3 linked regions of the Arabidopsis thaliana genome follow. The protein of the gene in region 1 interacts with the protein of each later gene in a pairwise test. Each region holds a gene or a part of one and is shown in the gene's direction. Other genes may lie near its edges.

Evidence for each region.
Region 2: the proteins of CYP96A4 (region 1) and MGT5 interact in a protein complementation assay, tested with the Arabidopsis thaliana proteins (one large-scale study listed by BioGRID).
Region 3: the proteins of CYP96A4 (region 1) and AT3G19300 interact in a protein complementation assay, tested with the Arabidopsis thaliana proteins (one large-scale study listed by BioGRID).

Annotation. Positions count from the first base shown.
Region 1 is NC_003076.8:21,241,714-21,251,658, reverse strand, and holds CYP96A4 (cytochrome P450, family 96, subfamily A, polypeptide 4), read left to right. Parts: upstream 1-4,884; 5' UTR 4,885-5,039; coding exon 5,040-6,548; 3' UTR 6,549-6,683; downstream 6,684-9,945. Other genes in the region: EXO70A2 (exocyst subunit exo70 family protein A2), read right to left, coding at 1-59, 440-535, 699-857; AT5G52330 (TRAF-like superfamily protein), read left to right, coding at 1,927-1,957, 2,145-2,256, 2,361-2,449, 2,541-2,609, 2,680-2,812, 2,957-3,112, 3,265-3,634, 3,742-3,845 and 1 more; LTI78 (low-temperature-responsive protein 78 (LTI78) / desiccation-responsive protein 29A (RD29A)), read right to left, coding at 8,333-9,759, 9,844-9,945.
Region 2 is NC_003075.7:14,118,658-14,128,282, forward strand, and holds MGT5 (magnesium transport 5), read left to right. Parts: upstream 1-4,831; coding exon 4,832-5,120; intron 5,121-5,199; coding exon 5,200-5,606; intron 5,607-5,687; coding exon 5,688-5,942; intron 5,943-6,070; coding exon 6,071-6,346; 3' UTR 6,347-6,432; downstream 6,433-9,625. Other genes in the region: AT4G28570 (Long-chain fatty alcohol dehydrogenase family protein), read left to right, coding at 891-1,100, 1,230-3,266; MRL7 (polyadenylate-binding protein 2-binding protein), read right to left, coding at 6,710-6,813, 6,903-7,014, 7,147-7,231, 7,477-8,171.
Region 3 is NC_003074.8:6,686,765-6,697,770, reverse strand, and holds AT3G19300 (Protein kinase superfamily protein), read left to right. Parts: upstream 1-4,390; 5' UTR 4,391-4,560; coding exon 4,561-4,645; intron 4,646-4,938; coding exon 4,939-5,490; intron 5,491-5,675; coding exon 5,676-5,960; intron 5,961-6,037; coding exon 6,038-6,299; intron 6,300-6,381; coding exon 6,382-6,434; intron 6,435-6,514; coding exon 6,515-6,582; intron 6,583-6,673; coding exon 6,674-6,763; intron 6,764-6,860; coding exon 6,861-6,945; intron 6,946-7,017; coding exon 7,018-7,529; 3' UTR 7,530-7,653; downstream 7,654-11,006. Other genes in the region: AT3G19320 (Leucine-rich repeat (LRR) family protein), read left to right, coding at 1-611, 809-1,376; AT3G19310 (PLC-like phosphodiesterases superfamily protein), read right to left, coding at 1,578-1,760, 1,854-1,940, 2,016-2,239, 2,328-2,631, 2,716-2,814, 2,936-3,073, 3,167-3,289, 3,428-3,511; ABF4 (ABRE binding factor 4), read right to left, coding at 7,987-8,064, 8,313-8,342, 8,438-8,509, 8,697-9,815.

The DNA of each region.
Region 1 (9,945 bases):
ATTGCTTCCAGATAGCTTTCAAGATCCTCATGTGGTCCTCTCAATATTTTAGCTTCCGCCTGACAAAAAAAAATGATCAATCATTATTCAGCTTAATATGCCATACACACACACACACACACACACGAAGAAAACGATCTTAGGCTTAGCTGAAGACAAAAAAACTCTCCTTAACAAGAACAGAGTACTTGATATCTAACTGGATTGGGTCCTAAATCCTAAGTTTCACAGCATCAGAAAGCAGACATTTGCTACTCTGTTCACATGATGCATTCTCCACAAATGTTTCAGTTGTAACTTCAACTAGAGAAAACATGTCTACAGTTATCATCTTAAGAACACTTAACTTGAGGAAACCTAAGGGGAACAGAATGATAGCTTGAAAGACAAGCAAATAAAAGGAGAATCTTGTATGGTGAGTGTAAAGAGAACACCAAACCTTTCTAGAGATATCAAATTGATCCAATATAACCTCAGCTGCTTTCAATGCCTTGTCAATATTCTCATGAGCTCTCCTTATAGAATGTGTTCTTATCTACACAAACACAATCACACCCCCAAAATTAAACGTCGAAGAAGCCAACCATTTTATCACCAAATCCAGAATCACATTTCAATTTCAACAGAAGATAGATCTCAAATTCCACAACCTTGAGACTCTAAAAATCCAAAAAACAGAGAGATCATGAAGAAAGGACCTGTGTGGGACGCATTGCGGTTTCAAGAGCCGAGAGACGATGATCGAAAGAACCTAAGATTCCGACCATGTTATCGGTGATGGTCTGGCTCTTATGCAAAGACTCTTTCATCAAACTTGCTCGCTCGGTTAGGGCTTCCATTGCTTGAGCCACCCCCATTTTCTTGATTTGGATCGATGAACAAAAAAGAAGATGGTGAAAATTGATAGAGAATAGTTTTGGTTGCGTAAAGATTCAGAAATTTTTTGAGGATTGGAAAAATGTAAATGTGTTTGTTGGTGTAGTTAGAGACGCTCCTCTACGATTCGTGAGACGACGATACAATTAAAAAGTTTCATGCGATTTTGCTTGGAGAGACCCCACCACATAAGCGATGGTTTCGTTACTTTCATATTTTTAGGTTGATTTTGTGGGTCCCTACTTGTTTTTATTAATTGCGGAAAAAAATATAAGCTTAATAAACAAATAGACAAGATATTTTCCCTATAATATATTTGGGGTTGTTACATAAAAATCGTTACCCCTTTCTCATAGTGGAAAACAAAATCTACTCTCATACCAAAAAATGAATCATCTATTTAGGTAAAGAATCATATATTTTATTAGGTAAACAAAATATCTTTTAGGATACACTTCATCGTTATTATCGATCACAATCATCTTATATGTAAGAATAGAGAGATGGATTTTTAGAGTCTCTACACTCAGAATCAAAGTTTCTATGGTTAATCTCTATCTTCTTCTTCTTCTTTAATTTTGTTTTTAAATACGAGAGAGTGGTTATGATTTTCCGATCGTTGATTTCATAATAGAAATGAACTTCTGGTCCTTCTTTGATTTTTTAACAATCTATTTATTTATTTTAAGATTGGAATTTAGGGTTTATTGCCCATCCATGATCTGATGGGGGTTCTTAGGGTTTCGATTTAAGCTATGAATTCGATACAGTTTTGAGGGAGTCAGATTGTTGAATATAATCCAAACCTATGTGCTTGTTCTTTGTTCATTTTTCAGTTTTTGATCAAATCAATTGATTTTTCAGCTAGTCTTACTCTTTAGAACTTTTCAAATCATATAATATTATTTTACGATAAATTTATAATAGAATTGTGCATCTTAGGGGGAATTACAGAATTCAATAATCTAATTTTATTTGCTCTAATCGTTAGTTTTTTTTTTGTTCGTAGTTGAAGAAAAGAGAGCTTTGACGAAAAAATCATCCTTTAGAATGGCAAAGACTGATGTGGATGATGAGTATGGTATGTGTTTTAGCAATATGATTTTTTTTATGAATATCGTCAAAAACGTCCCCACTATCCCGTCCACAAATGATTAAGGTTTTCGAGATATGTTAATAGATACTATACCCGTTTGTTTGTTTTTGTGTTTTAGTAATATACTTCTCTTTTTCAGCTAATTTAATGTGAAATTTCTTATTTTTCTCAGGTCTTAAACCCTCTGAGTTATATGGAAAAAATACATGGAAGATTAAGAAATTTTCACAAATCAGCAAAAGGGAGTTCGCTAGCAGTGTTTTTGAAATTGGAGGCTACAGTTGGTACATGGCATGCATATCTTTCTCATCTTTAATTTTTGTCTCAAAAAAACTCTGGAAATGGTTTTGAAGGCTTTGTGTTGTTACTTTTATCTTCAATGTGTCAGGCATATTTTAATGTATCCAGAAGGATGTGATGTTAGCAATCATCTCTCATTATTTCTCTGTGTTGCAAACCATGATGAACTTCTTCCAGGTTTGTATTTTTTTCCACTGGTCTGCTTGGTCCTTGTTTTCTTTCTCTGGATACTTAGTGATATATATTCTTTTGCTATCTTGGACACCAGGCTGGAGTCAGTTGGCTCAGTTTACTATATCTGTGATGCATAAAGATCCAAAGAAGTCTAAGTTTTCAGGTGATTTTTCGAATCTTTAATTGCTTGCTTCCATTTCGATATCCAGACAACTGAATTCATGATCTTGTAGATACGCTGCACCGGTTTTGGAAGAAAGAACATGATTGGGGATGGAAAAAGTTTATGGAGTTACCGAAGTTACGGGATGGCTTCATAGATGATTCTGGCTGTCTTACAATTGAAACTAAAGTTCAGGTGATCAGGTAATGCAAGACCGACTCTATGAGCAAAATATTACCACATGCACGGTCCATTTTTCCATGCTACCATATACTTACAAGTTACATCTCCACATGTTCATATGTTATATTTTTTCATTTCCTCGGCCATATAATTGGTCCTTGCAGAGACAGGGTGGACCGACCTTTCTTCCTTGATTATGGTTACAAGACAGAAATTGTTAGGGTGTATTTTCGAAATATAGAGCAAATTTTCCTACGCTTTGTGGAGGAGAGAAGAAGCAAGCTTGAGAAGTTGATAGAGGACAAGGCCAAATGGACAAGGTATTTCACATTTCAACTTGTACCCTTAACTCCTCCAGATTCCATAAATGTAGTTACCTCTTCTTTTGAGGAAACCATGCCATGTTAGATTAATATATTGTCTTCCAACCATGTCTCTAGAGACCATTATAAATTTGCATTCTTGGTTGCAGCTTCGGTGTTTTCTGGTTAGGAATGGACAAAAACTCTAGGCGTGAGATGTCTAGAGAGAAAATGGACGTAATCCTAAAAGGATTTGTAAAACACTTTTTCATGGAAAATGTTGTTACATCACCTATAGCGATGGATTGCTTGTATAATGGGTTGAAGGATCTTGAAGTCCAAACTAAGAACAAGAAAGCTAGCCCAAAACTGTTAGATGACAAGGAATTGCCAGCTCCGTTTGTTAAAGTGGACAGAGATATGTTCGTATTAGTTGATGATGATGTGTTGTTACTCCTAGAGAGGGCTGCACTCCTAGAGAGGGCTGCTCCAGAGCCATTGCCTCCGAAAGATGATAAAGCTCTTCAAAACCGTATTAAGGTCGGCTTAATTCCATTATCCGCGTTATTGTTTATCTTATGCACTTTTCCACTAGAAAGTTACTTGTATTGATAAATTTTGTTTTTTTTGCTTGGATGCAAATCTAGGAGGACAAGGATGAAGAAGATATCAACAAGGAAGCTTATGAGATATGTTTAAATGAGTGGGGTAGACGAACTGTGGAGATATTTGTTCTTGACCATATCTTTAGGTAATAATGCATAATTTGTTTCTATATAGTATGCCATTGTGTTCTAACTTGATGTGCTTATGTATTGTACTTCAATATCTCTGAGCAGCAAAATTGAGGTTGCATACAAAGAAGCTATTGCGCTTAAAAGGCAGGAAGAACTTATCCGTGAAGAAGAGGAAACTTCAAAACGGAGCAAAGTGCTAAAAAAGGGTTTTGGGAAATGTAGACTGAATTAGATTCGAAATGTTTTCTGTGTTTTGCGTAATTTTGTTTCGGTTTTCGGTATTGAGAAATCTAGACCATATGTTGAACCGAAATTGTCTGGTTTGGTTATTTTGCAGAAGTTTGGTTTTATTTGGTTTAAATTTATTCAAATATGGAAACCGGTGGTCCCTGTATTTTAAAATTTAATTTGGACTATGAAATGATGGTGCACATTAAGATTTGTGGTTAGTAGTTGTGAAAGTTGGTACCGACACCAAAATATTTTGATGGTGCATACTTCTTTAACATGTGTTTTTTTTTCTTCATTAGATGCTCGACGATTATACTACACATGTCTAAATTGTTTTAGTCCATATGATGATTTTTGCAATTATGTACTACTATATTGCACATAATTTTTTGAGTTTGAATTTCAATGCTATTAAAAAATTTCATATAGTTCACTTTAAGTGAATTTTAACGATTTTGCACACAAAATAATATAGATATTATAATTATATAGTTATAACTTCTAATTGTAAGTTTGTAACCATAGAATAATCATGTTGATTAACGTGTTACAATAATAGTATAATTATCATATAAATAATGATGAAAATTTAATATCTTCAGAAAAAATATACTCGAATCGTAAAGAGATTTTAGAGTTATCTCTGTATTACTTCTCGTTGTAATATAGATGTAAAATGTACAAAATAAAGGATGATTGAAAAGTTGTTTACACACAAAAAAAAAAAAAAAAAAATATTATGCCAGTGAACTCCACACCACTTAACATCTTCAATAATTGACAAATACAAGACTCCTTTTCTGACTTTTCTAAACACCAGTGATTAAATGTTCTTACACAGAGCAATACTATGATTTGAAATGACATATACACATGTGTTATATATAGCAAACGAGTTCTTGTATGAATAACTCACTCATATGAAAATCCATTATTTTGTTTGACCAAAAAAAAAAAAATCATTTTTGTGTGCAATAATGGCGATGATCATAGGCTTACTTGAAATCTTCATCGCATTCATTTTCTTCTTTGTCTACCAGTGTTTCTCGCTCCACAAGAAAACTCCAAAGCATATGGTCATGAACTGGCCGGTCCTTGGGATGCTTCCGGGTGTGCTCTTCCAAATCCCTCGTATCTACGACTTTGTTACGGAGGCTCTTGAGGCAGAAAATATGACGGGTTGTTTCATAGGGCCATGGCTTAGTGGAACAGACATATTGCTCACTGTTGACCCGGTGAATATCCAGTATATTCTAAGTTCAAACTTCGTGAATTACCCCAAAGGGAAGAAGTTTAACAAGATCTTTGAATTCTTGGGAGATGGGATTTTCAACGTTGACTCGGGCTTGTGGGAGGATATGAGAAACTCGTCTCATGCGATTTTCAGCCATCAAGATTTCCAAAGTTTTTCGGTGAGTACAAGCGTAAGCAAATTAAGTCAAGGGCTTGTTCCTATTCTTGATAACGCTGTTGAGAAACACATTCTTGTCGACTTGCAAGATTTGTTCCAGAGATTCTTGTTTGACACATCTTCTACTTTGATGGCTGGGTATGATCCAAAATCTCTCTCCGTTGAAATGCCTAAGGTTGAGTTCGCTGATGCGATGGATGGAGTTGCAGATGCCATGTTCTATAGACATCTCAAGCCGGCTTTCCTGTGGAGTATCCAATCTTGGATCGGTGTAGGAATAGAGAAGAAGATGAGAAGAGGTCTCGACGTTTTCGATCAAATGCTAGGGAAGATCATATCAGCTAAACGAGAGGAGATCAAAAATCATGGGATTCATGACTCAAAAGGAGAGGCCATGGACGTTTTAACATATTACATGACTATAGACACGACCAAATATAAACACTTGAAACCGAGTAACGATAAATTCATCAGAGACACTATTTTGGGTCTTGTGATAGCGGCAAGAGACACAACCAGCTCAGCTCTCACTTGGTTTTTCTGGCTTCTCTCTAAGAACCCTGAAGCAATGACCAAGATCCGACAAGAGATTAACAAGAAGATGCCAAAGTTTGATCCGGCAGATTTAGACAAGCTCGTGTACCTAGACGGTGCCGTGTGTGAGACGCTAAGGCTATACCCATCAGTCCCATTCAACCACAAGTCACCGGCAAAGCCAGACGTGCTTCCAAGTGGTCATAAAGTTGATAAGAATTGGAGGGTAGTAATCCCTATTTATTCATTAGGCAGGATGAAATCTGTTTGGGGAGATGACGCAGAAGATTTTCGACCAGAGAGATGGATTTCAGACAGTGGAATGTTGAGACAAGAGTCTTCATATAAGTTTTTGGCGTTTAACGCTGGTCCAAGAACTTGCTTGGGGAAAAGATTAACATTCTTGCAGATGAAGACAGTAGCGGTCGAAATCATTAGAAACTATGACATTAAGGTCGTTGAAGGGCACAAACCAAAACCAGTTCCTTCCGTTCTTCTTCGCATGCAACATGGTCTCAAAGTTAGTGTCACTAAGATTTAGTGATATTTTATTTTTGTTTTATGTTACAATAAAATATTCCATTGTGAAAGAATATTTATGGGTAAAGATTTAGAACCTCATGATAATATAAATTAAAATAATAAAATAAATGAAGTAAGTTTGTTTCTTTTGAAACCATTAGTGCTAATTTTTCCTATCTAAAATCATATTTCTCTTATCCAACTTTGTTATTTTCACAGAAATGAAACGCATAGCCCATCAACCTTTGAGTAGAAGCCCTTTGGAAGTACAAAAGTATGGCGGCTCTGGAAATTCATCATTCTAAATAACTGATGAGATGAGAGTAATAGGACTTGCATGAAAAACCTATATAGTCCAGCAAGTTATCATTCACTGCTTTAAAACTACTATTATTACATAAATCAACATAACCTTCATCCGCAGTGGCATAATTTATAACAATTATTTATATCATAAATTTTAGTACATGTAAAGTTTATTGAAAACATGAAAAAATCATAACAAATATAAACCTAAAATTTTAGGTATTCGTTTGTAATACTGTCAGTACCTAATTTTCAATAAACAGCTATTCACTTTAAAATACAATATTCAGTGATTGTTTGTTATCACAATGGTAATAATCAAAGATGAATGTAAAATATGTTTTTTTTTTGTCCACCATCACAGGAGCAAGATAAGCAAAACTCTTTAAATTAACAAATCTTTCATCTTTTTGCACCTAATCAAAATAAATGTCAAGTTGATGATCAATATATTTACACTAAACTAAAGTGATGTGGATAAAGCTTAACTAATCTCATGAGCATGACTTGTCAAAATGATGGAAAAAAAGAAATAATACTTGATGATGATGTGAAAATAAGTAGTTCAGAATTTAGCTTTATCAAACCGATCACTAAACTTGTGAAATTGAATATCCAAAATCAGTGTAGAAACAATATACACCTCATAGTGATGCAAGTTAAAGCATCCTCATTGCTAAATTATTTTTTTTATGTCTCAAAATCAACATATTTAATATTTTAATATCAAAAACAAACTGACCACTAACAACAAGACATATGGAGGGAATGATCTTTAAACTGACCATTACAAGATTTTAAATGTCTATAGGAAGACACATTTCTCACCTTGATTCTTTAAATTCTTTTTTTTTCTTATTTCTATTAATTTTATATTTAAAGACTCTTTATTTTGATGACCAATGGAGATGGTCTTAATTAAGTCGGTTGTGTTTCTTGGCCTTTTTGAATCAACAAATAATTTTCCATAATGAGCGTTTCAATGTCAAGTTTTCACTTAAAGAACTAACTTTAGCCACAAAAACATCACATTCGTCATCTTTTAAGCTTATGTAATTGTCATTTAGTGGATTTTAACAATGAAATATCATTAAAAATATTTTCGTTTCTTTTTTGTATAACTTTTGATGAGTTATTAGGGAGTCCCAAAACAAACAAAAGCAACTATAGAAAACAAAATCAAATATGCTCTCATCCTAGAAATATTCGAGAACTTTAACGATAGAGACAACACCTCAACAAGTCACACTACTAGCTCATAATGTAAAATCCTGTGAATAATTCTAAGAACTTTGAAGGGAATAAATCCAATGATTTTACCCACTTTAGACCTAGTAGCTGGTATGGAGGAACTTCTTAATCCAAAGCCGAACAATTTATTAACCAAATGTCCTTTTTTCACACAAACAAGGAATTATACCATAATACATCAAAGACGTCAAACAAAACACACATAAACATCCAAAGTGAAACTTGAAAATCTCAGTTCTCATATTCTTAAAGCTCCTTCTGCACCGGAACAACAGTGGAGCCAAGTGATTGTGGAGACTCTTCAACGGAATGAGGCGATTTTGGCTTCACCTCCTCCGTCGCACCACCACCAAACCAGCCAGATGATTTTGGAGCCTCTTCAACAGAATGTGGCGATTCTGGCTTCACCTCATCAGTCGCACCACCACCGAACCATCCTTTAATCCTCCCAACCATTCCTCCTCCTCCTTTCACTTCCTCTTCCACCGCCTCACCCTCCTCCGATGCTGCCTTCTCGGTAGAGATCTTCTCCACTTCCTTTGTCGTCGTTTCCTTCTTCTCTTCTTCTCCTCCAATCTGAAGTTTCTCGGCAACCATATCAGAAAAGGCTTTGTCTTCTTCTTCAGTTGTCAGTTTCTCCGCCACATAATCTCTACCCGACACACTTTTATCTTCCCCTCGTTGCTCCTCTACTCCACTTCCACCTCCGGAGATAGGTAACTTCGTCGTCACGGCAGACTCTGTTTCTTGATCCTTCTCATTGACCGGAGTCAACTTCTCATCAACAGTTCCCGCCACTTGAGTTTGATCTCCCACCGGAATTTCTCCGGAGTAACCTAGCATTGAAGCAAACTTCTCTGTGTAAGTGCTCTGTTTTGGCTCCTCTGTTTTCTCATCTCTCGTCTCCTCAAAATCATCTCTGGACTCCTTAAACTCATCTCTTTCTTTAGGATGAGAAAGTTCCGGTGAGAATTGATCAAGAGTCTCCGTCTTTGGGTCTCTTCCCAGCTCAGTCTCTACTTCCACATCATCACTTCTCGCCGGAAATTTATCCTCTTCTGATGCCTCACCGTATCCAGGTCTTCCCTTCGCCAGAAAATCTGGTTCTCCGTCAAATCCCGTCGGCACATCCTTGTCGATATCAGATTCGTTCTTCAGATCCAACTCATGACTTCTCACCGGAAAATTTCCTCCCAACGGAGCTCCTAAACCGCCGTCAGATTCCGGCGAATACTCGTTTCTTCCAGAATCGTTCTTCTGATCAAATTCTTTTTCCAGCTCAGCTCCTGATTCACTACCAAAGCCCATCGGAGAATTCTTGTCGTTTCCAGATTCAGTCTTCAGATCAAATTCATGGCTTCTTGATGGAGAATTCGTGTCCATTCCAGTTTCAGTCTTCATATCAAAATCATGACTTCTCGTCGGAAAATCTTTTTCCAGCTCAGCTCCTGACTCGTCACCAAAGCCCACCGGGAAAACAACTCCTGATTCACCTGGAAATTTCGCCGGCGAATCCTTACCGAGAACAGAGTCAAAGTCCTGATCAAACTCTTTGAATTCTTTGCTTCTCGTCGACAAGTCTCTTTCAAATTGTCCTGGCTTCTGATCAGGAGACTCATCAGTCACTTCCATATTACCAAAAGACTCAGCAATCTCCGGTACTCCTCCAGTTTCTAAACCAAACACAACGTAACAGAGTTATTACATATTCATAATCACTAAAGAAAAACACAATCTTAAAAGGTCAAAGTTCTTACCTTCTTTGGTGGGATCAGTAACTTTGGACTGATAATTAGATACACCACTAAGATAGTCTGAAACAGCCGACTCTTCCTCCAACGTTATCGGGGTCTCGACGT
Region 2 (9,625 bases), on another chromosome or scaffold:
AAATATATCACGCAGGCCCATTATGATAATATTAGAAGCCGACCTCGTCCCCTCTAAAACCCTATTTGTTTTGTAAATGATGTGATCGTCTCTATTTATATTCCGGTTTTGAGATTTGTTAAGTTGTTCCTATACTTTCTTTTTTCAGCTACGTCGACGCTTAATTACTTGTGGACTCTCCTGAGCTTGTTGCTATGGATTCAGATACAGTCTACAGAGACGCTTCATCTACCCTTACTTTCCGATGAGGTCGAGGATGAGGTTTGGTTTCTTCTCTCTTTGCTTTACTCTTATTATTAGATGCCAGTTTCTTAAAATCTAGTGGATTCTTTAGGTTCATGAGTCATGACCAAAATTATTGTTGTATAGTCTTTTTTTGTTTTTGGGTGATTCGTGAAGTTCATGACTAAATGATGTGACAAAAAAAAAAAAAAAATCAACAAGTTTTTCTCATCAATTCCTCAAACTAATGTCACCATTTAGACCCAATATTAGTCAAAACAGAAATTGTTTGAATAGTAACGATTTGCTATTTTCCTCTTTATAAAACTACTCTATAATCCATATTAAAAAAATATATATAAATCGAAGTAAACCTTTTAACGTTGGAACATAAAAAGAAACAAAGACTTTCGAGAGAGAGGTAGTGAAAACTCTTTTGAAGATGTCAAATTCTTACTCGAAGACAAAAAGATCTACTACTAATCTACTATTATCGTAGTCGTACAAATATTATAACTAGTGAGACCCACCAGCAGAAACAAAACACAAGGAAGACTTCGTGATAACGAGACTTGTCTGATTCTTCAATAAGCTCACGGATTTCTCCTCAAAATCCTAATCCAATCATTTCTCCAATTCTCCAAGGAGTTTGGTAATACACAAATAACATGGAAGACGTTAGAAGAAGAAACAGAGGACATCCTCTGCTCAGATCCAAGAAGAGAGGAGAAGGCTACAACCATGGCTTCTCACCGTCTCAGATTCAATCTCTTGCCGTCATCTGTCAAACTTTCCTCCCTCCGGAGACCACGTCGGAACAGCAAGCTGTTAATTCCTTCCACGTAGCCTCCTCTACTCAACCACCATTCACTGATGAGGTTCTCTCTCTCTATCCTCTGTTTCTAATTTTGTATTCAAGATCTTGCTTCGATTTAGGAATAGTTCTATTATAGATAGTGAAGTTGGTCATGTTATTTTCTTGTTGTTTGATTTGGATTTAAATCTAGGTGGCGGAGATGATAGTGAAAAACGGACGATCAGAAGCAGTCAAAGTTTTGAGAATCATATTGATGATTTTGTCATTCAGATTTGGAACTTTGTTGCTTTGTGGGTCTCTCTGTCTTGATAAGAGTTGGCCTTTTGTTCTTAAATTCTCTCAACTTCCATTGGATAAAAGAGAAGCGATCTTGAGAAATTGGTCTAGACAAAGTGGATTCCTTCTTCCATTTCGTATCACTTTCTTCCTTGCAAAATTCTACACCCTCTTCTACTTCTTCTCCCAGACGGATGAGAATCTGAAGAATCCTGCACTGGAAGCTATAGGGTATTGCATCGATGGGACAGAGAGAAGTAGCAACAAGAAGAGTGAAGCAGATGAGAAGCGACGACCTCTAGAGAAAGGGATCATTGAAACTATGCATGAGAGTGACGTAACCATCACACAATCTCTAACTGAAAAAGGTGTTCATGTTGCTAGAGACGATGGTGACAATGTGTACAGGATCAGATGCGATGCGGTTGTTGTAGGCTCAGGAAGTGGAGGAGGTGTTGCAGCTGCAAACCTAGCTAAAGCTGGATTGAAAGTCTTGGTTCTAGAGAAAGGAAACTACTTTACAGCTCATGACTATTCGGGTCTAGAAGTTCCGTCTATGCTCGAGTTATACGAAAAAGGCGGCCTTTTGACTACGGTTGATGGGAAATTTATGCTCTTGGCTGGTTCAGCTGTTGGAGGAGGTACAGCTGTTAATTGGTCTGCATCTATAAGGACACCGGATCATGTTTTGCAGGAATGGTCTGAAGGGAGTAAGATCAAGTTTTTTGGTAGCCAAGAATATCAGTCTGCAATGGATGAAGTTACGATAAGGATTGGTGTCACGGAAAGATGTGTCAAACACGGGTTTCAGAATCAGGTTCTGCGGAAAGGGTGCGAGAGACTCGGTTTGCAGGTAGAATCAGTTCCAAGGAACTCACCAGAGGATCATTACTGTGGCTTGTGCGGGTATGGATGTAGAGCAGGAGCCAAGAACGGGACAGATCAAACCTGGTTGGTTGATGCTGTAGAGAATGGTGCAGTGATCCTGACAGGGATCAAAGCTGAGAGATTTGTATTAGTAGACAACACTAGTAGTAGCAATGAGAGAAAGAAACGATGTGTGGGAGTGTTTGCTAGCTCTGTTGGAGGAAAGATTGGGAAGAAGTTTATTATCGAAGCTCGAGTAACGGTTTCATCCGCTGGATCGCTGTTAACACCGCCTCTGATGCTTTCGAGTGGGCTAAAGAACCCGAACATTGGAAGGAACTTAAAGCTGCACCCGGTTCTGATGACATGGGGATACTTCCCGGAGAAAGATTCTGAGTTCTCCGGGAAAATGTATGAGGGAGGGATCATCACGTCCGTCCATCATATGAATGATACTGAATCTGGATGCAAAGCAATACTGGAGAATCCACTGATAGGACCAGCTTCTTACGCAGGGTTGAGCCCGTGGGTTTCAGGACCAGACCTTAAAGAGAGGATGATTAAGTACGGAAGAACAGCTCATCTTTTTGCTCTGGTTCGGGACTTAGGGTCAGGTGAGGTTATGATGGAAAACGAAGTTACATACAGGACAACCAAGAAAGATAGAGAGAATCTGAGGGCAGGTCTTAGACAAGCTTTGCGGGTTTCGGTTGCAGCTGGTGCAGTTGAAGTCGGAACATATAGGAGTGATGGACAGAAGATGAAGTGTGAGGCAATTACTAAAGAAGCCATGGAAGAGTTTCTAGACGAAGTTGATGCTGTTGGTGGGGTTGGCACAAAAGGAGAGTATTGGACGACGTACTTCTCGGCTCACCAGATGGGTAGTTGTAGGATGGGAGTCACCGCGGAGGAAGGTGCGTTGGATGAGAATGGTGAGAGCTGGGAAGCAGAGGGGTTGTTTGTTTGTGATGGAAGTATATTGCCATCAGCTGTTGGGGTTAACCCAATGATCACCATTCAGTCTACTGCTTACTGCATCTCCTCAAAGATAGTTGACTCGCTGCAAAACAAAACAAAAGTATAGAGAAGTAAAAAAAGAAAGAACTGAAACCATCCCATTAGTATTCATATCGAATAAATATGTTTTTCCTTGCAAGACAAATTTTGTTTAAGAATCATGGAATAACTTATCTTGACGACAACAAAGATGTAAACAAATGATATATCATATATGCACCAAGATTCAAGAACGTTAAAGCTGTTTTTTTTTTTGTTTTTTTTGATAAACCCTATCGGCTGATCTGGTCAGCACCGGTAGAAATGCACCGAAATACTTCAGAATGGACTTCTTTCCGAAGGACCACCTCACTATCTGTCCCGAATTTGGATGCCTTCCGACTAATGCCAGGGGGTAATCAGGCCGCCTGTATTTCTGCCTACTAGATAAACCAATTGGGCCAAATCCCAACTGACAGAATTCCCAAACAAATGTGATTTTTGTTTCAGAGAGGATCGAACCCAGGTCTGGAAGTTTCACCCTTCCCCAAATCTTCTCCTACCACTGGACCACAGATGCTTGGGCTTAAAGCTGTTTGTTTGTTTTTTTTTTTTTTTTTTTTTGTTGTTGTAAAGTTTACTATGTTTCTTAAAATTTTGTCGTCAAAATGTAAAGTTAATATTTACGTGACTATACTTAACTTTTATGAAAATGTAAAGGATATAGGAATTTCCTTATTAACATACAAACGGGAGCTGTCTATAAAATATAATCGTCTCGAAACGAAGAAGAACGAAACATAAACAAAAGTGACTAAACAAAAAAATCGTTGTGTTGCAAAGAACAAGATGAATAGTGCTACCTCATATGCCATAGCCGTAATCGTTGTCTTCTTCGTCATCCTTTCGGCTATTTTGTCGTGCTGGTTTAGAGAGATTCTAAATTTTTTTAGAGACAAGAGTACGACTGATGTCTCTGCGAGTGAATAATTCCCTCCGTCGATTAAGGTAATCAACATTTTTTCTCTGAAAAGTATAGTTAATAATTGCAGGAATTGTGATGACTAAATAGTTCTTTTTTTTTGGTGTGGATAGGAACGATTATTTTGGAGATGCAAAATCAGAGTAGGGCGGGTTGTTGAATTTGTTTTGTTTGTTTTAGTATGACTAATTGTTTTAAGGGTTCTTTATTTTTATGCTATAGATTATTGAATTATTAGATTATCCTTCAATAGTTGCATCTATCGTGGTGTATTGTTTGTGTTTGGCGATTTTACATACAACAGTTATCCAAAAAAAAAGGATTCTAACAAACAAACACTACAAAGATTATGCAAGATCTCCAAGATAATTCCACAAGAGTTCATACTTATCTTGATAAAGAAAAACGTAATATCTATGATAATATGCAAAACTATTTACAAGTTTTAAGAAAAGCAAAAAATCAATTAAAAAATCACTTAAAAAAGACTTTATATTAGTTAATAACTTAATAAACACTTCCCAAACCTAAATGCACAACAAACGCATGGCCGAAACCGAAACGAAACACACAACACAAACCCTGCTCGGGTACGTCGTCGGAAAAATAGAAAGTCAAGCAAAAGCGGCAGGACTCGGCGGAGAGATCTCTGACCAGCTGCAGGTAAGTCAATGGGATCACTTCGCCGTAGTACGAGCAACCGCAGCCGGAAGAAGGGTACGGCGGTGAAGATGAATAGGATGCCTTCATCTCTATCGCCTCCTACTCCGCCTTGTAGTGCAATCGTGGGAGGGACGGGGAAGTCAAAGAAGAGAAGAGGAGGAGTCTGTCTATGGACGAGGTTTGATCGGACTGGATTCATGGAAGTGGCTGGATGTGACAAGAGCACCATCATCGAACGTTCTTCTGTTTCGGCTAAGGATTTAAGAACTGCCTTCTCGCACTCTTCTAAAATTCTAGGTATACACACGTTTGTGTCTTTTTTGCTGACTAGTTTTCACAACAGACAATAACAAATCCATGTCTTGCTATGACGCAGCCAGAGAGAAAGCTATTGTCCTGAATTTAGAGGTCATAAAGGCGGTAATTACTTCAGAACAAGTTATGTTGTTGGATTCTCTCCGTCCTGAAGTTCTTACACTCACTGACCGACTAAAGCATCACTTTCCTCGGAAGGATGGTCCTGAAAATATATTGCAAGCTTCTTCTCATGGTCATCAAGAAGGTGGAGAAGAGGGTTTGAAGAGTAAGCTTCCTTTTGAATTTCGGGTACTAGAGATTGCATTCGAGGTCTTCTGCTCATTTGTTGATAGCAATGTGGTAGACCTTGAGACACAAGCTTGGTCTATTCTTGATGAACTAACCAAGAAAGTCAGCAATGAGAATCTTAAAGACCTAAGAAGTTTAAAAACTAGTCTCACCCACTTGCTAGCCCGTGTACAAAAGGTAAAAGGTTATTACCTTTTCCAATGATACTATAATGTTGTGTGTTGGACGGAAACATAAAAGCTATAGTACATTATTCAGGTGAGAGATGAAATCGAACATTTCTTAGATGACAAGGAAGACATGGAAGACTTATACTTAACGAGGAAATGGATTCAAAACCAACAAACCGAGGCAGCATCAAATAGCATTGTCTCCCAACCAAATCTTCAACGGCACACATCAAACAGAATAAGCACCAGTATGGTGACGGAGGAAGATGACATTGATGATATGGAGATGTTGCTTGAGGCATACTTCATGCAACTAGAGGGAATGCGGAACAAAATTCTTTTGGTAAGTAGTAAATGTACCTAAATAGGTCTAAGAAAACCATATAAGTTTTAGATGCAAGCTCGGGTTATGTTTGGTTGTTATGTGTTAATGCCCGGTCCTTGGTAATTTAATATTTTTTTGAATTGCAGATGAAGGAGCATATTGACAGCACAGAAGCCTACGTGAAGATACTACAGAATAGTAGACGTAACGGACTGATCCACCTAATGATGCTTGTGAATATAGGCAATTATGCAATAACTGCAGGGACAGTGGTGGTCAACTTGTTCGGTATGAATATACCAATTGGATTGTATAGCACACCTGACATCTTTGGTTACGTTGTGTGGGCTGTCGTTGCGCTTTGCATTGTGCTTTTCATAGTCACCGTTGGTTACGCCAAGTGGAAGAAGCTACTTGACTGATAAGAGACTAAACACATTAGGTTTAGTCATTATGAGATTAGCTTTGTGGAATTCATTTTTTTTTTAGTTTGCTTTTTCTTATTGATTCAATGCTTTTGTTTTTATGTTATGGATTTTTGCATTAATAGTTTATCCTTCAAACAATTTTTCTATAAAAGGAGCTGGCTTCTTGATATATGTATGCATCATTGGTTACGAATCAACGTGTTAGGGAAAGCACAGATTGACGAGTAAAATCCATTACTTGGGAACAAGTTTATATTTGCATAGAACATACAAAAATGTTAACAATCTATGAGTGAAGTTTATGTAAATTTTCCTAGACTGACCTTTTGAGTGAAACTACTCTATGCCCGTTACAAACTAACAGTACGGGGTTACATTAGCCTTGTCGACACACGAAGGCCTCTTCGCTTTATAGTAGAAATGCGCAATCATATGAACCAATTCATCCGCCGTGCGAAAGTCTGCATCAAGTTCAATACGCTATGATAATCTATTGCTCACACATATTGCAAAAAAACATGAAAACAACGTTAGCAACATAGCTTATCACCTTTCTCCCTGTACAGAATCCGGTTTCCGCGTAAGAAGAGAATCTGTGGGCATTCCTTAGCTTTAAGAGCATATGCCAAATCTGTCTCGATGTTCAGGTCAATCTTAACCGCCTGTTTCATAAAACATGGTGATTCTTGTTAACAGAGAGCAGCCACATTAACATGTAATCACACCAAGAGAGATTAGTACACAAAGAGTAATGTTCAAGTTAAAACTGCAACTAGAGAAGGCTTTCGACATACCCGTGGAGGTAATCGATCTTTCGCATCCCAATAAACTTTGATAGCTTTCTCAAGCTCCTTCAATGTCTTCCAGTTATCACTAGCTCTATAAAACGCACAACAACTCAAAAAATTATTCCAACAGTAGTAGATTTTGGTCACTCTAAGAACAAGTTTCAGTTTTTATACTCATTGCAGTTAATTGATCATGGAATCTAACTCAAATGGCTCTTTCAACTTGTAATCATAGTCTAGATAATGTTGTGAAGGAAAAAGAACAAAGCTTTCATAGTTCTACTATGCACACCAAGTGTTTGTGAAAATTCGTCAATGAAATAACAAAGCTTATACCTTTTGTATCGCTCGAATACAAGGACAACGAGTGGACTAGGATGAAAAGCAAAGCTTTCCCATTCCAAACAATTGATCTCCTTGACCCAACTATCATCAATCTCACCTTCCCAATCAATCTCACTCCCATCATCTCCAACCACGTTTTTGATTGGATGTGTATCGAAATACTCCGAAGCTTTGATTCCCCATCCAACGTCTGTATCTACTGGCCAATCTGGATCTTCCTCTTCCACCACCATCTCTTCTTCTTCTTCCTCTTCTTCATCAACGCCTCTGTCTTTGATGAAATTCGCCTTCTCCTTGTTCTCAAAAACCTCCGGATTCTGCTCCTTTATGGTGGAGAAAGTACGCTCGAGGGAGCTTCTCACGTAATCTTCCACAGCGTCTGCTTCACTCCGCCGCCCACGCTTCGATTTACGCGGGACCTTTGTCGGAAACTTTTCATTGTTCTCGGTTTCAGCAATTGGCGTAACTGCTTCCTTATTTTTGCGACGGGACCGAGTTTGATTTTTGGATTCAGGGTCTAGTACGGAATCAGACGAAACAGCGGCGAAGCGTTTCACGCTCCGGGATGATATAGTCACCGGGAAAACAAATAGTGGGCTGCGATGCATATCAGAGAAGCTCGAATTCAAGCCGGTGAGAAGCATAGAAGATCTTGGCGCGGAGCAAGCAACAGCGAAGAAACTCATTTCTCTCGTTTCCTAAATTCAAAACGAAATTCGCAGAAATTTTTGGTAACTGAGTTTTTGCTCTTATAATCCACTTTGTCTGTATAATCCCGGTTTGGATTATTTCGGTTTGTGTTACTGTCCTTGATTTGGATCGGTTATCTTTCCCGATACTTGGTTTAGTTTATATAATCGAAACAGCGTCGTTTGAAATATTCATAATTTCATATACCTAGCTCCTCGCCTCCGTTAATGAAAAATTTGAAATATTTTTGGCAAATTTTAAAGTTGGATATGTTCTTTTTTTGGCATTTTCCCATTTCGTTATGTGATCACAATATCCATAATGTGATCACAAATTAGAAACATTGATAAAATATGTAAACTTTACATAGTCATAAGATCCTAAAATGGAATATTTTCTGACCTCAAAATGTAAACTCGTTAACAGTACACATACTAGTGTTTAAATATAATTTGTATGCAAGAAGAAGAAGCAGACACGATATGGAGAAGATTATTTTGGGATGCATTGTGTTTTTGTTGGTGTTCTGTGCCGTGTTGATTTGTCGTCTCTTACGTTACCTTTGTGAAAAACGGTGTGAAGAACCTAATAAGGTTTCGCACACACAAGAAAAAGAATCTAATAAGGATGACGTATTAATTCGAGGTACGTCTATTGTCTAACTGTTTTGTTTCGAGCTAATATATAACTTTTCTACAAAGTGAATTTTTCGATTCTATTTCTAATCTTTTAGTATCATGACAGCCTCGAAGACACAAACATATAGACCGCCTCAGGTGACGACGGTGTAGCCCGAAACCCGTAAACAAAAAGAACAACGTCTTTTCTACAATCAATTAAATATTTTTCACTTACCTTCAAGAAAAGTTTTTGTTTTGTGAAATAAAAGAAAAGTTTTTAGTGATTGTTTTTGACATTGTTCTCTTATTGTTTTTATTTTTATCCAAGGTATATTCTTATAAAGTTAATTGTTTGCGGTCTAATTTATTACATAGTACGATCTTTGTCAATGGGTGGAAGATATAAAGAAATTCTTCCTATAGTTTAGAATGTGTGAGTAAGATAAAATCGGAGTTCATAAACTCGATTGCCAAATCTTTGGGGTTAAGAAGGCTCAGTTTAGACGAAATAAATTTATACAAGTTAGAATAGATGATATTGTTAAATTGTTGGATCATATGGAATTCACAAATTAAAGCCTAACACGTGGTCACTGATCACTGGTTTCACATGCATTAAGACTCGTGGCCCATTGAAAACTGCAATGTTTTATTGTATAGTTGGTTCCATGTGTGAATGTAATTTTGTTTTGTGTTTCTTTTATATAGTTTGCATAAAAGCATGTGTTTTTATCTTCTTTATTAATAAGAAGTAAAAGAATTCTCGATTTCTTACACCCAATCTGTTACAGTTACACAGTACACATATATCTTCTTGTAGGTATTTTCAT
Region 3 (11,006 bases), on another chromosome or scaffold:
TCACCACCGCCACCACGGCCACTTCCTCCTCCACCGCCACCGCCGCTACATTTCTCAAGCCCATTAATAAAGAAAGTTTATCCAGTCATCAAGAATTTCCAGACGCTAATCGAAGATGATCCAAAGAGCATACTTAAAACATGGGTAGGCACCGACATTTGCGCTCAGGACAAATACATAGGACTCGAGTGCGCCAAGTTACCGGGAACAAACGACCTCGCACTTGCCAGCATTCAGTTCAACAATTTTAACTTGGGTGGCAAGAAACTCCGGCTAGATAACTTCCTCAACAAGTTAGAAGAAGTCACCATCTTTCACGCAAACAGTAACAATTTTGTGGGCTCTGTTCCAAACTTCAGCAAATTGAAGTACCTTTTCGAGCTTGATCTCAGCAACAATAAGCTCTCTGGAGAGTTCCCAAGCTCTGTGTTAAAAGCAACGAACCTCACGTTTCTCGATCTCAGATTCAATTCTTTCTCCGGTTCTGTCCCTCCTCAGGTTTTCAATCTAGACCTCGACGTATTGTTCATCAACAACAACAATCTTGTTCAGAGACTCCCTGAAAATCTTGGATCGATCACCGCTCTTTACCTCACATTCGCTAATAACAGGTCTCAAAAGCTCCACACTTTCATTCTCGTTTTGTTATCAGGGAATTATTTACTCTGTTTCAAATTACAGAGTTATTTACTCTGTTTTTATTTCAAGTTTGGTATTATGATGTCACGAGATATTTGTGAATTGTATCTTGTATTTTTAAGGTTCTAAAGTTATTTTTTTGGGGGGAATTACATGTGATGTGATGCAGATTCACAGGTCCTATTCCGGGAAGCATTGGTGACATCAAGTCCCTACAAGAAGTCCTTTTCTTGAATAACAAGTTAACTGGTTGCTTACCGTACCAAATTGGGAACCTTAACCGAGCTACGGTTTTCGATGTTGAGTTAAACCAGTTAACCGGTCCGATTCCGTACTCTTTCGGATGCCTAAAGAAGATGGAGCAGCTGAATTTGGCTAGAAACAATTTCTACGGTACTATACCGGAGATTGTCTGCGAGCTCTCAGCCCTCAAGAACCTTTCTCTCTCGTACAATTACTTCACACAGGTCGGTCCAAAATGTCGAACACTCATCAAGAGGAAGATTCTTGATGTGGGTATGAATTGTATTCTAGATCTTACGAATCAAAGAACACCATGGGAATGCGCCAAGTTTTTCTTGCGGAAACAGAGTTGTCCTAACTTTAAGTCTTTCTTTTATCTCCCTTGTGGCAAAGATCCCCACCGGATTAAACCGGATCAAGAAGGATCAGACGGTCAGGCTTCGCCACCGGTATCTTACAATGCTCTTAACCCAGACCGGATTCGGAATCTCTAGCTAAAACAAAGTTGTTTTTAAAATGATATACATGGTTGATATTTGTAAGTACCCCTTATTGAATAAATGCATTTTCTTTTTGTATGTGTATTTTAGGTGACTACTATACAAGTAAAATAGATTTTGTTTTCGTTGGTTCTTTGCGAACCGGAACATGGTTAGATTAGAGTTTTGTCATTTGTATAAAGTAAATCATTTGAGTCAAAAAGTTGAGAGAAGTGAGACAAAGGTTACAACAAACACAGAAAGCCCAAGTAGGGTCGGTTTGGTAGATGGGTGGCCATAGCCTTTAGTCGCTTCCGCGGTAAGTTTTGCTATCATCATTAGGTTTGATTCCGGTTTCTTCTCTTCTTGCTTCTCACACGTCCCATATGGCATGTTCTCCTGCACAAAGTCAAAAACGTTAAATAACAATTTTTCATTACATATAATAGCATAACTCACATAGTGAGTACTACATAATCATATAATACTAACTTTACAAGCGGCTATATCTTCGCAGCCGCAAACTGCATGACCGTTTGCAACATCCACTGCTTTTGGAGCTCCTCCACCATCGCTTCTCTAAACCACCACACACATACATGAACATTACACAAATGTTAACATTAACCGGATCCAAATCTCACCAAAACGTACCTTGTAGAAATCGACTGCAATGAAGTTAGGCCAACGTTTTCCCGAGGCTTCTTGACAGTTTTTGACGGTGTCAAGAAGAGGAGCAGAGTTCTGCTTACAAGATCCGATCACATCTGCAGTATCCGGAAAATAATTGACTAGAATAAGTGATCTTGATCTATCTCCCATTGCAACTGATTCCGGTCTATTGGTACACACTCCAGCCTTCATCCCTCCATCTCCATCTACAAAATCATAACATTATATCAATATTTCATATTTATAATAACTTATCATAATATGATGTATTAGTATATTTGGAGACGAACTCACATTGATTCTCTATCATGTATCTCCACATAAACGCAATTCCCTCCGACGCTTCTTTTTGAGGATTAGACGTGAAAACAAGCAATCGTTGGTTCTGACATATCATATCATCAAGAGTAGGCCAATCTTCTCCGTTTTTAGGCATTCTTGATACCGGAAACATGAAGTTTCGTAATCCGGATGCATCAAACACTCTGGTTAAACCATTAGGAGATTTCACATAGTCCTCGAGGATAAGCGTTACAACAACATCCTTGTTCTTGTCTAGAAACACTTGAAACTCCTTTAAAATGTTAACCGCGGGTTGCTACATACAAACCAAAAAACAAATTAATTAGAACTATTTTCGACACTGGACCGATCAAGTTATAAGAATCTATATAGAACTTACGAATGCGGTGTAATTGAAACAATTTCCACCGTAAGAATGGCAAAGCCATATATCGTTTTGGAAGTCGTACAAGTCAAGCATAAACCCTCTAACACCATTCTGTAATAACCCAAAAAATGTAAACATAAGAATCAAATCAAAGAATGGAACATTTGGAATGGGTTTATCAAAAGAATAAAACTTTTGAAATGGGTTTATTATGATGAAGAAGAATATTTACAAGGAGTTGGCTTGTGATTGAATCTTGTTGGTTGGAAGGTGCAAGAATCATAGAGCCAGTGCCTGATTTTGCACCCATTCGAGCAAATGAATTGTGGGTTGTTAACCATGAGTACTTGTTGTAAGGCAACCCTTTTACCTTTTGACACAAAACATGAAAAGATAATGATCAGTAGATTCAACAAATATTAAGAATATTAATGACTAAATGAAAAGAACATAAACAAGAAACCTTGGTGGTCGGGTTAATGGGTTGCATTCGGGAGCATCTAGGTCGGAAACTATCGCTGGCGAGACACGATTCACAGTGTAATCCCCGATCACAATTCTTGCTCACGATGCATGTTTCTCCTTCCTACCAATCAACACAAAGATCAACACTTTTGTTTTGTAAATTTTCTTGAAACCGACGATCCATTAGGTTTTTTTAGGTTAGACTCATTTATGATCAATTCTTGATGATGTTGAGAAAGATTTGTTCAGATTAAGTTACCTTGAGGGCATATGAAGGGCTAAGGATAATTAGAATACATGGAATGAGAAGAGCTGTTAGAAAGAAGGTGAATCTCTGAAACATTTTCTTCTTTCTTGCACCAAAATCCCATAAAGAAGTTTAAAAGAATAAAAACCCAAAGATTTTGACTTTGGGAAGAAGCAACTACTTGGTAAAACTCCAAAAGACTTGGAACGGGTGATTTACAAGTTGTTTTGACCAACCAACAAAAAACGGTAAATAAAAACTTAAATCTAAATTTATCTTTTCAAACAAAAAATAACATGAGGAATCGCGAGTATCTAGGATACAATGATGATATTAATAGCTATAGAAGAGAGTTCTTTATTGGCTTCTCGTTTTCCTTTATGGTTTGTTCTTATTATTATACTTAACAAGTTAACATGCCATCCTACATGAAATGGTTCTTTGATTCCATTTTAAAGAATAAACTTAACCAAAAAATGAAGAACTTGCATGAGACTGTCATCATTATCAAGTAATCAAATGCTATCAAGTTAATTAGCATGCCAGCTAAAATTATAAAGTACTTTAGTCTTATGAAAATTAAATACGTTTTGTGCCGGTCCAAATCAATCATAAAACTAACCTCACACATGAGAGAAAAACCATATGATAAAGTATTTGGAGAAGTTTTAATATTCCTTCCATACTATCATCTAGTTTGACATTTAGGTGTCCGCCGTATGTTAACATTTTACAGGTGTTTTATGATGAAAACATATAGCGGCTTATTGTTTCTAAGAGTTGTTAATATTCTTTGTGGAACCAAATCATGTGAAGAGATAAGATAGAGAAAAAAAAAGAAACTTAAAAACCGACCACTGCAATGATTATGTTTATACATGAAAAGTTTTATTGAACGAAAATTAGTAATTTTATTTGTATGGGGGTGCTTAAAACTATTACAACGAACTTTCGGGTAAAAACATAAGAGAATGACAAATTTAAGGATTATTCAGGGGTTTAATGGGTTTCATCAAGAAATAGAGAAAGTTGGGGGCTCTCTCTTTCTCTCTCCATCTCATTGTCACTGACCTTCTTCCACTGTCATATTCTCTTCAGGCGACTTCTCATTGACCTCTCCTAACGACTCTCTCTGTTCTTTGGCCATGGTGTTGGTTTATAATCAAGCTCTCTTGCTCGCATTCTTCGCATTGCTTGGATTCCAGTACTTTCCTTTACTCACCGAAGCAGGTTTTGTCTCTCACCACATCAGTCTTTTGAGAATCTTCCTTGACAATCTTCTTCCATGGGTTTGATTCGTAACTAGATAAAGAAGAGAAAACGAACTGTTGTTAATCTTGCTTTTTCTGAAAGGTTTAAGCTTTGTGCGAATTTCGATGTGCATTAAAGTGTTTTGTGTGTTCCTTTGTTCTAATTTGTGGTGAATTCGTTGCTTAAAGTCGTAGTCTTTGATGAGATTTTCATTGAGAGAAAGAAACTATTGCAAAATTGAAGCAAAGTTATGTGATATATTGTGTTTACAGGTTGTCCATTGGACTTTACTTCATCTAACTTCACTCTAGTGGCTTCCGTATGCTCGAACAACACCGAGAGAGCTAAATGCTGCCGCTACATGAATGCTTTCGTTGCAATATCTGTCGCCCGCTATGCAAACTACACAGCTGATCTTGGAGTTACATCAGATTTGACTGAAATCTGTATCACTACTATCTCTAGAACCATGGAGCTTTATGGAATCCCAAGAAATGCTACCATCTTCTGTGGATTAGGGACCAAGATTCTTGTTAACTATGATTGTGAGGGTCTGACTACTGTACCGCCAATGCTTCATTCCACAAGTTTTGGAGATGTTTCCAGAAACTGCAAACTCCCGCTTCCTCCGGGTGATCAATGCAGGAATTGTTTGAATTCCAGTATCAGCTACCTTAGGAGCCTCGTTGGTGCTGATAATAGCATCAAACTGAGTACTTGTCGTGATGCAACTTATGCTGTGTTAGCAAGCCGGGTTGACAATTCATCGGCTCTTGAACTAGCTAGCTGCTTCTTTAATGTGCCTGAGCTTAGCCCCACTCCAGGTATATACTGTTTTCTCTGTCAACATACCATTCATGGAGTGTAGAATCTTATCATTGTTTCTATATTGGGAAAGATGCTTGACAGATCCTGTATATATTACTAGTGTGTCCTGTATAATCTTCTTAGTATCAGATCAAGATTGGACTTTCTTTTCTTTTCTGACTTTCTTGACACATCTACTCAGGTTCGTCTCCATCATCGCTGAGTCCAGAAGCTTCTCCTCCAGTGTTAGCTGATAGTCCAAGCAGCGATAATCTTGTTTTGTCTCCATTAAAAAGTCACCATCCATATCACTTGACAATGGTTCCGACTATTGGGATTGCTGTCACAGTTTTTGCTCTTGTGATGGTTGTAGTCCTAATAGTTCTTATCCAAAGAAAAAAACGAGAACTTGATGACTCCAAGAGCATCGCTTGTAATCTAACAAGGACATCTCCTTCTCCCCGCCCAAGGTCGATGATTCATGAAGGTGAAGAGTTCTTCTGATGGTACACTAACAAGGGATGTTAGACCATGTAAAACAAATGTGTGGTTTTGATTTTTCAGGTAATTCGTTTGGTTTTCGGAAATTCAGCTACAAGGAGATAAGGAAAGCAACTGAAGATTTCAACGCGGTGATTGGCCGTGGGGGCTTTGGGACTGTTTACAAAGCTGAGTTCAGTAATGGGTTGGTTGCAGCTGTAAAAAAGATGAACAAGAGCTCTGAACAAGCTGAAGATGAATTTTGCAGAGAGATAGAGCTTCTCGCCAGGCTGCATCACCGCCACCTAGTTGCTTTGAAAGGGTTTTGTAATAAGAAGAACGAGAGGTGAATGATTACGGTTGACCTTCATTTCGTTTCTCCCCATTTGTGTGGATTGCCCTTTGCTCATCTAACCTGAGAATTACAGGTTCCTTGTCTACGAGTATATGGAAAATGGGAGCCTGAAGGATCATCTACACTGTATGCTCATGATTTTCAGATTGCATTCCTCTGTTTTAGACTTGACTAAGAATCTTGAACGTTGTTATTCCTCTCTGCAGCCACGGAAAAATCTCCACTAAGTTGGGAATCAAGGATGAAAATCGCAATTGATGTGGCTAATGCTCTGGTAAATTTCCATAAAACTGATACTCTAGTCTATGGTTTATATTATTATTACTGTTCTTAGTTCTTAACTGGATATGCTTCCTTTCCTGCAGGAATACCTTCACTTCTACTGTGACCCTCCCCTCTGTCACAGAGACATTAAGTCAAGCAATATATTACTCGACGAGCACTTTGTTGCTAAGGTGCGTCTGCATCCTTTCACATCAACTGGTCACTGACTTATCAATTCGTTTTACCTCTTAAAGAATTGACCTGTGGGTGTGGGGTTATGTGGTGCAGCTTGCAGATTTTGGCCTTGCACATGCTTCTAGAGATGGCTCCATTTGTTTTGAACCTGTTAATACTGATATCCGCGGAACTCCAGGTCAGGATACTAAGGAATTAACTACTCTTGAAATATTGAGCAAAATCTAAAACCATGAAATCTGAATTTCAGGCTATGTAGATCCAGAGTACGTTGTAACACATGAACTAACAGAGAAAAGCGACGTGTACAGCTACGGAGTGGTGTTGCTAGAGATCATAACTGGGAAAAGAGCGGTTGATGAAGGTAGGAACCTGGTAGAACTGTCTCAGCCTTTGCTGGTATCAGAATCAAGACGCATAGATCTGGTGGATCCGAGAATCAAAGACTGCATAGATGGAGAACAGCTTGAAACAGTAGTGGCAGTTGTAAGATGGTGCACAGAGAAAGAAGGCGTGGCTAGGCCATCAATCAAGCAAGTTCTGAGGCTGTTGTACGAAAGCTGTGATCCGTTGCATCTCGGGCTTGCAATGGCAGTTGAAGAGAACAAAGGACGGTCACTGAGAGGTGACTCAGGGTTCCAAAGTGGAGACATCCGTGGCTTGGCTTCTTCCTCTAGTACTACTTCAAGGTCGCATTGTAGCCGGAGTTTTCTGCTTGAGACTGGCTCCCCTCACTCTCCACCAAATGGTCTCTCTTTTTGAGTGAGCAGAGACAAATTAGTCACATTTTTTCTAGAAATTTGTCACTTAGGATCATCCTAACTGTTTTCTAATTGCAGTTTTGAAAGATGACATATGTTTTCCAACCAGAGTCAAGAATGATTTCGTTGCCACTCTTAAGTAATAATGGCTAAACCCAAGTTAATGACACAAGAGAACCAAATCCGGAATACAAAGTCAGACATATATATAAACAACTATGTCTTTTAGAAACCCTAACAACCAGAAAGCACAATAAGTCAATAACAGAGGATAATCTAAACCTAAACTAACAAAGGTCAGGGCACAAAATGTCATTTATTCATAATGAAAACTCTCTCCTACTCTGTAACCTAGATCTTTCACTCAATTTCTCTTAATCTCCTGTACAGGTAGCACTATCCTATTACATTAATCCCAAGCTAGGAGTCTGGTTCATCCGTTCTTGTTGCTTCATCCTTCACCATGGTCCGGTTAATGTCCTTCTCAAGCATTGCCTTTTGCTGCCCCACGGTCGCTTCGACGTTTCTTTCAGCTGCTAATTTTGAAAAGAATACTAGTGAACAACACAATCAAAAAGGCTATTCAAAACGAAGCAAGACCACGAAATGTTCGAAAGCTATCTCAGGTTTGAGCTTCAGTTGGGGACATACTTGATAAGGACCAACATACACTATCAGAGCTACAACTTAAGTTTAGTCTTTTGCTGCTGATGTTGGTCCTAATCAAGTATGGTCAAGGGTTTCAGAATGAACTCAATGAAAAGAAAAGTTCTTAAACAATTACCTCATTCTTCTGCATTTCCACCATTTCAGCCTGCAATACAGGGGAAGCTAGGATCAGAGCCAAGTTCTAAAAGTCTGATAGGGGAAAACAGAAAACACACAGAGAGGTTGTAAACAGAAAGAAACCTGTTTTTTCTGCAGTTCTTGATTCGTTTTCTTGAGCTTTTCAATTTCGGCTTCCAGTTCCAATGTATAAGCCTGTAATTAGTGGATAGTTAAAAAACATGGAAGATAAAGCATCTTTCATAATACAAGAAGTGGTTCGGGATAGAAGATATCTTTGCTGGTTTTATGTTTCTGTTTAATGCAGTCTTGCAAAATATAAGACCATAATAGTCAAACCAAACAAAAGGGACTAGATAAGTTTAGTTAGATTTATATTCACCTGCTTTCGAGCTCTTGATCTAGCAGCTGATTCCCGATTCTTGATCATTCTCCTTTGCCTCCTCTCGATAACCTTCTCTAGACCTGTATTGCTTCTTCGTCCTCGATTAAGCACATACGGAACTGGTGATAAAGAATTATTTTCTGCGCTGCTTGTTCCTGGAGAAGTTGCTGCAACAGTGACCCCGGTTCCTCCGTAACTAGCTAATCCATTATTATTGTTGATAGAATTATTTGCAGCCCCAGCAAAACCCTTGTTGGTTATATTCACAGGCGCAGAAAATGCTACGTTTGCTTGTTTAGGAAAAATGGTTTGAGGCAGCCGCTGCTGTGGATGAGGCTGATTCAGCTGCTGCATCTGCTGTTGTTGCTGCTGAAGCAACTGCTGTTGTTGTTGTTGCTGCTGCATTGTTCCACCCATTTTGAGCCCTAAACCAGGTGGCTGATTCAAGATCATAGAATCATTAGTACCATTGAATGTTATGCTGTTTTGATTTGGCTGACCAAATCCAAAACCTAAGCCGCCAGCAGCAGTGCTGTTACCATAAAACCCATTGTTATTGTTTCCGTTGACCTGACCCATCTGTTGAACACAGTTATCTTCTCTTACAACCCCAGCACGGAACAGAAATTCTTCAAGTGTCATTTCCCCTAAAGTCTGTTGCCTTCCAGGAGGCACATTCGACTCACCACCGCCTCCGCTGCTACCTTCCATATTACCATCCTTGGTGATCAAACATTTCCACACCTCATCAACAGTCTTCTGACTAATTGTTCTAGGCAACGTCAACGAACCTTGCCTCTGGAGATTCCCACCTGGGGGTGGGATACCAGCACCAGGTTGCGCTACCGCTGTAGCAGCTGGCGCAGAAGTCATGGCCATGGCCTGAGCTTCCTCAGCAGTCCATATGCTCTTCAGGAGTTCATCCATGTTCATCGACCCGAAATCTTTTCCCGGTCCACCTAGTGTGTTCTGTAACTCATCAAAGGTAAGGGAGTAGACCGAGGACTGCCTAGCCAAGGGCATGACACTACCCGTTGGCTTCATCTGGTTACTACTCCCTTCCCCTCCAGGATGACCACCACCTCCTAAGTTGTTGAAATTGATGTGAGTTCCCATAATCCTTGTATACACTCCTTCTACTTCTTTTTCAATGAAAACAAAGCATCCAAGCCCTAAAACCCTTGTTCTAAAATCAAAGTAAAGCAGTTAGAGTGTATATTACATAATGCTAAGAATCCATGAAAAAGAGAACTTCCGAGGAAAATAAAAAGGAGTGAACTATGTGTCACTAATGCATGTTCACATCCATATAAGAGAAAGAATACTAAAGTGAAACTGGACAAACCACATAAATGCGTGCGAACAAATGTAAAAGCACAGTAAAGTCAATCAATAAAGGTCAGATCTTTGGATAATGTTTATAAAAAAACGTAATTTGATGACTTTTTTTGATGGAAAACGAATTCACACCAGATACAGAGTTTACTCATAAAACCAAAAACGAGAAAATCAGCAAAACCCAACAAGCATGAGAAGGATCTATTCCAGATTCCACAACCCATTTCTCTTAAAAAAAACCCGATCGAATCAAATAGACAAAACCCTAATAGCAACAAGAATCAAATCGATAAATTTATAACAAATATCTCGTAAAAATTCTCTCTTTAACTCTAATTTGATAACCAAAAGTTACTTCAGTTACAACATGTACATCATCATGATTCATAAACGAAACAGAGGAAAGACAACAAAAAAATTGGATGATCCGACAAAGACAGATCCAGAAGTCAGAAAACGGATAATAAAAGAGAAAGGAGCTCGAAAATATGTTTTACCAAATTAATTTCTTCAAAACAAGATTCGTGACTGCGAAAACTCCAGAGAAGCTACAGGGAGAGACGACAAGTGTGTTGCTGCCGCCTCGACACGAGCAGCCATTTTAAGGCCCTGAAACCTTTTTTTTTGTTCTTCAGATATTATTTTTTTGTGAATAATTATCTGTTAACAGTATTAATTTAAAAAGAAACGTGGACGAATGAGAAAAAAGAGTTTAATGTTTTAAGTGCTTGTAAAGACTTACATCCAATTAAGAATGCGACGTGGTAAAACATTGGCCGTTTGTTTCCGACAGTGAAGATTCGAGTGGTTGGAGATCGTGCTTGGAATTGTTTTCTCATTGGAGTTAAATCATAATAATGATTATTCTTTGTTTTTAGGTCAATTTTTTAAAAATATATTACTTCTTATGTTCTTTTAGTTTTCTTATTTTAGATGTATATCAAAAATTCAAATTGATCTTCAAATTGA